3 linked regions of the Caenorhabditis elegans genome follow. The protein of the gene in region 1 interacts with the protein of each later gene in a pairwise test. Each region holds a gene or a part of one and is shown in the gene's direction. Other genes may lie near its edges. The genes, in order: aap-1, spp-24 and rpl-3.

Region 1 (3,757 bases):
GATAGCCTCCATAGCATATTCGACTTGATACAGTCTTCCCTCCGGAGAGAAGATGGTCGTTCTACTATCGTAACGACGGGCCATTCTCTGAAAATATAAAGATAATCTAGACAAATATGATTTTAAAATATAAACGGCAGAAACCTATAGAAAAATTACATAAAACAAGAAGAATCTCTCAGTCCTCGACAAAAAGGATGACTTGAAAATTTTTTCGCGCATGAGCGCATTTGCATTTTTGTATTTCTCGGCCGTGGCCGAACTTATTTGTTTTCAAGTTGTCAACGTTTATTTTTATTTTTTTATCTAATTTTGTCAAAACATCAATGAAATGGCGTATATTTCTGAAAATGAGCTGAAATTTCTACGACTTCTCGAGCGAACAAAGCGCTTGACAAAAGAGGATATGTCAGCAAACGTTTGGAAAGCAAGTATCACATTTTAAGTTCTGTTTAATTAATTATTTTTCTTATTTCAGGTTTCTGCAGCTACAAAGATTCTCAATAAAATGATTTATACACTTCAAAACGATGAGTGAGTTTTTCAAAATACATTTTTTAATATTTATAGTTTTACTTTTCCAGAACCACAAATGATATTCTCCACGAGTACCGACAGGAAGTCTTGCAACTGAAATTACTCGCTGAAGCTGAAAGCAAGGTTTGTAGATATTTTAGACAAGCAAATTCGATCTTGTAATTTTGCTTTAAAGATACAAATTTTTACATAATTTCTAAACTTAATTTGAATTTGTTTGATTTGTTTCAATTAAAAATTTAATCCTAAAATATTATGCAAATGTTCCGTAGATTTTATGTCCCTCTTTTCAATTTAGATTTAAGTAAAGAAAACAAGTTGAACAGCTTTAAATATTTTGTGAATTTCGCAACTGTTATGAAATTGTCAGTAAGTTTTCCAGTCGTCAGCCGAGGAGCGCCTGAAAGTGATTGAAAAAATTCCACGTGTATTTCCCGATGTCCAAGTAACTGTTGCAGACTCCAAGAATGGTTTTTGAATTATTCAATATTTCATTTTAATGTTTATATTGCAGATAACGAGGCGGAAAGTTACGATTTTGAAAAAGAATCCGCAGCTGGACTCCGAGCTACTCAACGATCCATCTATCGATCAGATCTTCGGAAGCAGTTGCTTTCATCTAATAAACATAGAGCACAAGACACATCTGGTAAAAATTAGTATCCAATGATTGTTCAAAATTCGTCAAATTTTATAGAAGATCAGGAATTCATGAAAAATGAGCTTGTCGAGGAGGAGCTAGCAAATAGTTTGGCCACTATGGCGAGATCATTCAAAACGATGATGTCGGCTGCTGGAGATGTGATTAAAGAAGATACAGAAAGAGCAATATTAATGGCGAAAGAAGTCGATGATAATAAAACAGCTCTCGGGGTAATTTCTTCACTATATAAACTTCAAATAATAGTCTTAAAATTTCCAGATTCAAAGTGAGCGAGTTGAGCGTCACGCCTACAAATGTGGTTATGACTGTTTCAAGGTCATGCTCATTGTTCTGATTTTTATGAGCTTCGTATCAATGGTTCTTATGATGAAAATTTTCAAAAAAGCGAGCACTTAATAGTCGGGACGAATTGCTAGTATTTATGGGTGTAAATATTTCAAATAAAATTATTTAATTATTTGCATTCTTCGAATTTTTTTTCTCGTTGATATTTCCATTGGTCTACAGACCATGTTATACATACTTTTTTTGTTGGTTTTTTTTGGTGTTTTCACAAATTTCAATGCTTTGCTTTTTGGTCTCGGCTTGGTCTTGTGCCAGATTTAGTCTACTTCGGCAAAAACACCACAGATTCTTCTCCTCCGTTAATTATATATATATATATATATATAAGGATTCAGAATGAGCACAACACCTGGAACTCCTCATGGAGTCACTCATAGTCTTATGGAACAAGGATGGTACTGGGCTGATGCTGATAGATCTGCAGTTTCGAAAGCACTTTCTGATCAACCTGATGGATCATTTATTGTGAGAAATGCTAGTACACCTGGAGATTATACACTTTCTGTGAAGTGGGTTTTTCAAAATTAGTATTCAATATTAATAGTCCTTTTTTCAGATTTGCCGCCCAAGTGAAACTTCTCCGAATCGTTGTTAAAGATGGAAAATGCGGATTCAATACAGATTCATTAACTCACGATTCTGTTGTCAGATTAATTGAATTTCATCGAAATATTTCTCTCAATATTTTCAATGATGCACTTGATGTTCGTCTTTTATATCCAGTTTCTGTTCGTCGTAACTCTCAAAATGGAAAACCATTTTTCAAGAAGGGGCAACTTCAGCAGCGTATGATTCTCAGTGCAAAAAATGATCATGGTAAATTATTTTATAACGCAAACGCTAAATTTAAAAATACTGTAATTTCAAACTTTAATTGCTGCGGAATTTCTCTTGTCGTTTCAAGACCTCGTACCATATTTTTATCGCGAAAGTGGCAAAATTTCGCGTCTGAGTGATTGAAAAAAATAAAAATTAGTAAATTTAATGCTTTTTTTAGATTGGAGAGAACGCTTGGAAATGGAAAATTTGAGAGCAGTACATTTGGCATTTGAGAGAGGAGCCAAGCTATATGATTCAGCTCATCAAGAAATGGAACGAGCTGAAAGTCTCTATCATGCTTTGAATCAATCAGTTCGGGACAATGAGATTAAACTTGGAAAACTGAATAATTTGTTAGAAGCTGAAACAGACGTCGTTACACAAATACAGGGATCGCAGACAACAAGTGAAATGCTCAAAGGAGCATTTGCAAATAATAAGACAGTAAGCGTTTTTTGAAGAAAAAAAACATCCAAAACCAAAAAAAAACAATTCTAAAGCAAAAAAAAGAAGTTCAATTTAAAATTGTTATTTAGCCAAAACTCAATATTTTCAAAGCTGGATTATTAATTTTTGCTCAATTTTTTTCTCGGTTTTTTAAAAATGATTTTAGAGCAAATCCTCAATTTTTAACCATTATAGTTTTGAATTTTATCTTTTTTATTTTGCAGTTTGTGGAAGAAAGTATTCGACGAATAAACACTGAACTGACGTCATCAAAGGATAAGAAAAAGACGCTCTCCGGAATTTTGGATGAAATCGCGATGAAAAGATCCAATTCAAAAACACGACTCTGCAAGCTTATGGAACTTCGTAGTGCAGTCTATGATAAAATGGAACCAGCACTTTGTTCGAGAATGGCTGCAATGCTTGATGCTGGAGCGGAAATGATAAACAGTGAGCCAACGAAAGTCACTCAACTTCTTGTCGATATGGAATTGAAGTGGACACCGGCACAATATTTGATGTGTGGAACTTCTAAGGAAAATGCTGCGAATGCTCTGATTCATGCTCGCTATCGGATCGCTCAACTTGACAAGGCTGTTGGATTGAAAAGAGAGCCACAAGATGGTATTTTCTTGATTCGAGGATCCTCTTCTCATGTTAGTTTATGATTTTATCAGAAGAATAACTTTTCATCCTCATTCACGCTAATTTTTGAATTGAATTGAATATTTTTCAGGGTGATAAGCTCGTATTGAGTGTACTTCACGGAGAACGTGTCTCACATTGTCTAATCGAACAAAACGAAGAAGGATGGGGATTCGAGCACAGCAATGTCTACCTGACAACTATAAGTGACTTCGTTCGCTATTACTCTCACTTCAGTCTTGAAACCCACGCGGATGCTATCAAAACTCCACTTCGTACGCCCGCATTTGACGCTGTCAC
Region 2 (3,242 bases), on another chromosome or scaffold:
CGTATTGTGCAACATATTTCACGCGCAAAATATCTCGTAGCGAAAACTACAGTAATCCTTTAAATGACAACTTTAGCGCTTGTGTCGATTTACGGGCTCGAATGGATTGAAATAATTTTTTTATCGATAAAATATTAAAATCACGCTAAACATGAGAAAATTATGCAAAGAAACGAATGAAAAAGAAATATCGCTGTCACTAGTCAAAAAAAAGATTTAATTTCAAAAAATCGAGCGCGTAAATCGCCACCAGCGCTACAGTAGTCATTTAAAGAATTACTGTGGTTTTCGCTACGAGATATTTTGCGCGTCAAATATGTTGTGCAGTACGCATTCTCAGAATTTTGTGTTCATGTTATGATAAACCGAAATCTGGAAAATATTATTAAATGGCTCTCCTCTGATTACGAAAATCTAAGTGAAAAAATTCACAAAATTTCCCTGATGTTATTTCTCAGACAATGTGAGTATTAAACTACTGAATACTAAAAAAAAAAATTTTTTTTGGTTGCACAAGGTTTTTTTTTGCGAAAAGTATTTTACATTTATGGAGTCACAACTAGTGCGTCATAATAATATTACTGAAATTTTCGAATAGATTCCGATTTTGTCTCAAAAGATTACAATTTCATTTCTAAATATTGCGAAAGTGCAAAAAACTCTACAAAGACTTCGGTTTTATCTCAAAAGATTACTATTACGGCAACAATAAATCATGAGAATGCGTACTTGGTGCATTTTATTTGACGCGCGATATCTCTTAGCGAAAACTACAGTAAGAGCTTAAATATCTATTGTTATTTGAGTTCTTACTGTAGTTTTCGCTAAGAGATATCGCGCGTCAAATAAAATGCACCAAGTACGCATTCTCATGATTTATTGTTGCCGTAACAGTTAACGTTAACTGTACAATTCAAAAATAGCAAGACCAATTTGGAAATTTTGTATGAAATTGTTTACAGTTATAATTTGTCTCTCACGGCTTCATTTATAAAAATAGAAAATTCTCAAAAGACTCCACCTTTAATAATTTTCAATTCGACTTTTACATTTTAGACATGGTGCATCGTGACAATAACAATGTGTGCTCTCAACTTACCATATTTTACGCGCAAAATTGAATTTTTAAATGGAAAAGAACATGTTTTATTTAATTTTACGCGGGAAAAGACTACCAAGTTTTAGGTTTTTTGGAACAAATAATTTTCAATTGAAGTTTTTTTGCTTTCTAGAGCCCTGTTAATTAAAAAATATATTGAAAAGTTTTCCTGTGGTATTTGGCTAATTTTGACTGTAAGTTGACACCCTTTTTCCCGCCGTGGAAATTTTATAGATAATGATTCCAAAGTTAGGAATTGGCCGATTTTGTTAAACTCGCCCGTACACTCCTGGCTCAAATGTTTAGTTCCGTGTTCAGCACGGAGGTCTTTGCGGATGGAACAATTTGCATGTTCAATTCAATTGTACCAGCATTCGATGCTTATGTTTTTCAGTTGTTTGAAATACTCAGACCTCATTGTGGTTTAACCCACCATTCCTAAGATGACCTTCGTGATGTCAATTTGCGTAGATTATCCCCTTCTTAATACTCTTCTTTGTTTTCAGTTCTCTTGTCATTCTCGGTCTCTTCCATTTCTAATTATCGGCTTTCAGGCTCCACCCATTTGGTTTTCAAAAGACAATCATTCAGAAAACTGGGAGATATGCTCGTAAAGTTTTTGTGCTTAGTGTTACCAGTGTATAGTATTCCAATTGCCCCATCTTTTAAGGACTTACAGGTGAGTTAATACAAATGATTGTATTTTCAACAAAGTTATGAGTAGTAATCTCAAAGTTAGAAGGCTTGTGTAGATATGTCACAGATTGCACTCTATTAAATTATATACACCGTATTTCCTCTATTACTCTTACATGCAAGATTATTATCAATCGGTTTGTAGGGGGTGCCAGACTAATAGAGGAAATACGGTATTCAAAAATAACGAGCTTTGTCTTGTTCTGAAGTTACAAGCTTTGAGCTAAACGCGCAGTAGGATATGAGAAAAAAGTAAAGTGTTACAGACAATAAAACCGGACTACAAATTAATAAAGTATACATTTTCACGTGATAATGAAACCGATGTCATGAGTCCGGATCCTCCGAGTCTTCAACTTATTCCACTGGATTTTCTTTGCGAATTCTGCCAAGTTGTGATTTTGAAGCTCAAAGAACGGCAAAAAACAGAAACCAATTTTGAAGAGGTTGTTAAGTATAATCTCAGTAAAGAAAACCTTATTTTTGTTCAGACAATCAAAAAAGAATGCCTAAATTCGACAGATGATTCGAGTAGCTTGTGTGATGTGATAAATAGAGTGAATCTGGAACGACTGAAAAAAGGAGATCCAAAGGATATATGTGAAAGTCAGGGAATGTGCAATGGGTCTACTGGCACGACAACTAAAGACAATGGACCGCCTGGTGTGTCACCTAATCAGAGTATGGGAACCCCTGCAAAGCCTGCAAATGAGATAGAACGACATTTAACAATCGATGAAAAATCTGTGAATGCAACGTTAAATGTTGAAGACATAGCTCCTTATAATTAATATATGTGTGTTTTTTTTAAAATATAAATAAACACAAAATTGAGCATAGTTTGAAAAATTACACTATAAAAAGGAATTTCTAAATGGAAAAATTCAGCGTTGCATGCACACCAAATTTTCCAAAATTTTGGTGATTACTAATTTGCCAACACCCGTATTTTTCAACGGAAAGCAAAACATAGGCAGTAGGTAGGCACGTACACAGGAAAATAGAAATATCATCACAAAGTGCTGTAGAACTATGATGCTTCAAAAATGTTCTTTAAAAATGTTGTCCCGAATTCATAGTAGTTCAAAGTACTGAAAAATGCCGCATGACTTTTTATTTATCGCATAATGCTTTTAAATATTCAACAGTTTGTATTTATAATTTTGTGAATTCCCTTTCATTTTGGCAAAATTCTCATTTTTGAAAATAAGTTGTTATTGTTCGGTGTTTCGGTTTCTTTTATTTGTGTTTCTGTTCAGTTTTCATGTTTTATTTCTTTTGTGAAGTCGCCGATTATAACATACAACAATAGAACATAGGAAGAAGAAATGTTATTAAAACTGATGAGTGAACCAATGTCTTTAGTTTTCATTTTATTGATATTATATATTTCTACACATTGCACCCAGTGCAAGATTTTGAAAAGTTTCAATGTTTCAATACCTTC
Region 3 (3,757 bases), on another chromosome or scaffold:
GTTTACTGGTGTACTGCCGATTGTGGATGGATCACCGGACACTCGTACCTTCTTTATGGACCTTTGATGAATGGGCTCAAGGGAATTTGGTATGAAGGTGTGCCGACTTATCCGACTCCTTCTAGAATGTGGGATGTCACTGATAAGTATGGTGTGACCAAGCTGTATACCTCACCAACAGCCGCAAGAGCTCTTATGGCTCTCGGAAATCAGTGGCTTGAAAGGTAATAATTATTCAAAAATAATTGTTCAGCATCTTTATTTTTAATTTTCAGCTCTTCTCGCAAAACTCTCAAGGTTATCGGAACAGTTGGAGAGCCCATCAATCCTGCTGCATGGATGTGGTTGTACAAGCAAGTTGGACTTTCCAATGTATCCATTGTGGATACTTACTGGCAAACTGAAACTGGAGGACACATGATCACATGCCTTCCAGGAGCAACTCCAATGAAGCCAGGAGCAGCTGCAATGCCATTCTTCGGAGCATCTCCAGTTCTTTTGGATGCTGAAGGTCGTGTTATTGAAGGTCCGGGAGAAGGATCACTATGCTTTGATCGTGCCTGGCCTGGAATGATGCGTGGAATCTATGGAGATGAGCAACGCTTTGTCAAGACCTATTTGGCTCCATTCAATGGATACTATTTCACTGGAGATGGTGCCAGACGTGATGAAGATGGATACTTGTGGATAACTGGACGTGTTGATGATTTGATGAATGTCAGTGGTCATCTTCTGTCTACTGCTGAAATTGAATCAGCTCTTGTGGCTCATGAGAAAGTTGCTGAAGCTGCCGTTGTTGCTGCTCCACATGACATCAAGGGATCCTTCCCATACGCATTCGTCACTTTGAATGTTGGAGAGAGAATCAATGAAAAGCTTGTGGCTGAGCTCAAGAAACTAGTTCGCGAGAAAATTGGTGCATTGGCTGTTCCAGATGTTATCCAAGAAGCTCCAGGACTTCCAAAAACTCGTTCCGGCAAGGTTACCAGAAGAATCTTGAGAAAGATTGCTGAAGGATCCGAAAGTGGAATCGGTGATACTACTACTCTAGTCGACGAATCTGTCATCAAACAACTAATCTCTGGACGTTCTGCACGTGCATAAACGAACTTGAACAATTGTAAATCAATTCAATTCTTACTATTAATGTTACTTTTTCTGTATTACTTCTCTTTTCCCCCTCTATCGTTGTAATTTCTGCAGAATCAATGCAAGATCTAAACTTTTAACCCCAACATGACCTTCTTTGTAATCAAGATGCATTCCCTGATTGACTCCTGTGTAGAATTAAATTCCAGTGTTGTAATTTCCCCCAGTAATTTATTGAACCCTGAATTCGAAATTAGAAAACAAGTAAATGATTCAGAACTGATTAATTGTTTTAACTCAATTTCAGATTTTCAGATAACAATTTTGGCTTATTCGGATAATTAAAACACGAAACATGAAATTACAAGAAGAAGATTAAATACTTACATGGAGAAATGCATTTCATATGCCCAGTGAATCTGATGTTTAGCTCAATTTTTATGAATTATGATAAAAACCACGAAAGTTCAATACAAAATAATATTTGATTTAACTTGCATTGCAAAATTACAGGAAAATGAATTATTTTAAGCATAAAGTGTGTTGTTTTGATAGGCCGTTTGAACAAAGCAAATCGATTTTCTTGATTATATAATGATGCTTCAAAATAAAACTTGATTTACATGAATATTTCCCGTTAAAAAACAATGTATTTAAAAACATTATTATTTGCAGAATCTCTCCAACTGCGAAAGAAATCGAATTCAAACAACCGCGCTTGTCGTACACTTGTACACTCCGCCGCCACAGCTACGGTAAAAGCGTGTTTTGCGACGCACAAGTGTGCGCCGAGTGTGTGGGTCTCCCAACGCCTTTCACTGGCCTAAACTTCATTTCAATTTGTTTTAGCCTAAAATTTTCATGTTTTTTTCGAATAAATTTTGTTTTTTTACGTGCAATTCTAAATTTAAAATGTTCAAATTAGTATCTGTCTAGAAAAGTAGTTATTTAAAAAATTTTTTAACCGAAAACGCAATTTTTATTCTTTGTTCGCTCATGCTTTTTCTATAATTTTTTCGTAAAATTAATATTTTTCAGGGTACAACAATGTCTCACCGAAAGTTTTCGGCCCCGAGACATGGACACATGGGATTCACCCCAAAGAAGCGCTCCCGCACTTACCGTGGAAGAATCAAGGCTTTCCCAAAGGATGACAAGAGCAAGCCAATCCATTTGACCGCTTTCCTCGGATACAAGGCCGGTATGACCCATATCGTCCGTGATGTCGATAAGCCAGGATCAAAGGTTAACAAGAAGGAGGTTGTCGAAGCCGTCACCATCGTCGAGACCCCACCAATGGTTATTGCTGGAGTTACCGGATACGTCGACACCCCACAAGGACCACGTGCTCTTACCACCATCTGGGCCGAGCACTTGTCCGAGGAAGCTCGTCGTCGCTTCTACAGCAACTGGTTAGTTTATTTTTCAACTATTTCGTTTTTTGTATTCAGTGTTATGGTGCGTTTTTGGTGTCATTTGGTGGTTTCGTGATTACAAGTCTGTATTTGCAGTCGCGTTTCTAAGTCGGTTGCCTTCCGCTGTACTTATGTACATGATGGTAAACGAACTGAGTGGCTAAAGCGTCCTGTACGCTGAAAGGCATTTTGTTCGTAATCGTAGAAACTACAGGGCTAAATCCAAGAAGAAGGCTTTCACCAAGTACGCCAAGAAGTGGCAAGATGAGGATGGAAAGAAGCTCATCGAGGCTGATTTCGCCAAGCTGAAGAAGTACTGCTCTTCTATCCGTGTGATCGCTCACACTCAGGTAATATTTATATTTAGTTTGTTTGTATTCTTAAGTTATATTTTGCAGATGAAGATCCTTCGCCGTCGCCAAAAGAAGGCTCACCTCGTCGAAATCCAAGTCAACGGAGGAACCATCGAGCAGAAGGTCGACTGGGCTCGCGAGCATCTCGAGAAACAAGTCCAGGTTGATACCGTCTTCGCTCAGGATGAGATGATTGACACCATCGGAGTTACCAGAGGTCACGGATTCAAGGGAGTCACCAGCAGATGGCACACCAAGAAGCTTCCTCGCAAGACGCACAAGGGTCTCCGCAAGGTCGCCTGTATTGGAGCTTGGCATCCATCTCGTGTCGCCTTCACTGTCGCTCGTGCTGGACAAAAGGGATTCCATCACCGTACCATCATCAACAACAAGATCTACCGTATTGGAAAGTCTGCTCTCACTGAGGAAGGAAAGAACAACGGATCCACCGAGTTCGATCTTACCCAGAAGACCATCACCCCAATGGTTCGTTTTATTTTTTTCACCGTTCTATGAAGAAAAAGTCTGCAATTCGTACTCTGTATGGCGACTATATTTTATCTGAGAACATCGGGCGTTGTAATCAATTTTCATGAATTTTTAATAATTGTTTTGTTTTAGGGAGGATTCCCAAGATACGGTATCGTCAACCAGGACTACATCATGCTTCGTGGAGCCGTTCTCGGACCAAAGAAGCGTCTTATCACCCTCCGCAAGTCGCTCATCACCCAAACCAAGAGAGTCGCCCACGAGAAGATCAACCTCAAGTGGATCGACACCAGTTCCAAGACCGGACACGGTCGCTTCCAAACCACAGCCGAGAAGCGTGCTTTCATGGGAAAACTCAAGAGAGATTTCCTTGCCGAGGCCGAAGCTAAGGCTTAAATTTGTTTATTCAAA

What was found.
Region 2: the proteins of aap-1 (region 1) and spp-24 interact in a two-hybrid assay, tested with the Caenorhabditis elegans proteins (one large-scale study listed by BioGRID).
Region 3: the proteins of aap-1 (region 1) and rpl-3 interact in a two-hybrid assay, tested with the Caenorhabditis elegans proteins (one large-scale study listed by BioGRID).

The regions. Positions count from the first base shown.
Region 1 is NC_003279.8:5,105,962-5,109,718, forward strand, and holds the start of aap-1 (SH2 domain-containing protein), read left to right. Parts: upstream 1-1,881; 5' UTR 1,882-1,882; coding exon 1,883-2,055; intron 2,056-2,102; coding exon 2,103-2,362; intron 2,363-2,543; coding exon 2,544-2,809; intron 2,810-3,036; coding exon 3,037-3,468; intron 3,469-3,548; coding exon 3,549-3,757. Other genes in the region: pas-3 (Proteasome subunit alpha type-4), read right to left, coding at 1-84; use-1 (Vesicle transport protein USE1), read left to right, coding at 332-427, 479-534, 585-660, 920-1,007, 1,052-1,186, 1,235-1,410, 1,460-1,597.
Region 2 is NC_003280.10:37,949-41,190, reverse strand, and holds spp-24 (Saposin B-type domain-containing protein), read left to right. Parts: upstream 1-1,653; 5' UTR 1,654-1,703; coding exon 1,704-1,778; intron 1,779-2,061; coding exon 2,062-2,241; intron 2,242-2,286; coding exon 2,287-2,586; 3' UTR 2,587-2,633; downstream 2,634-3,242.
Region 3 is NC_003281.10:3,865,727-3,869,483, forward strand, and holds the start of rpl-3 (Large ribosomal subunit protein uL3), read left to right. Parts: upstream 1-2,127; 5' UTR 2,128-2,136; coding exon 2,137-2,501; exon of another isoform or gene 2,502-2,503; intron 2,504-2,602; exon of another isoform or gene 2,603-2,718; coding exon 2,719-2,854; exon of another isoform or gene 2,855-2,856; intron 2,857-2,902; coding exon 2,903-3,343; exon of another isoform or gene 3,344-3,345; intron 3,346-3,478; coding exon 3,479-3,742; 3' UTR 3,743-3,757. Other genes in the region: acs-19 (Acetyl-coenzyme A synthetase), read left to right, coding at 1-224, 276-1,104. UniProt on the Caenorhabditis elegans protein: The L3 protein is a component of the large subunit of cytoplasmic ribosomes.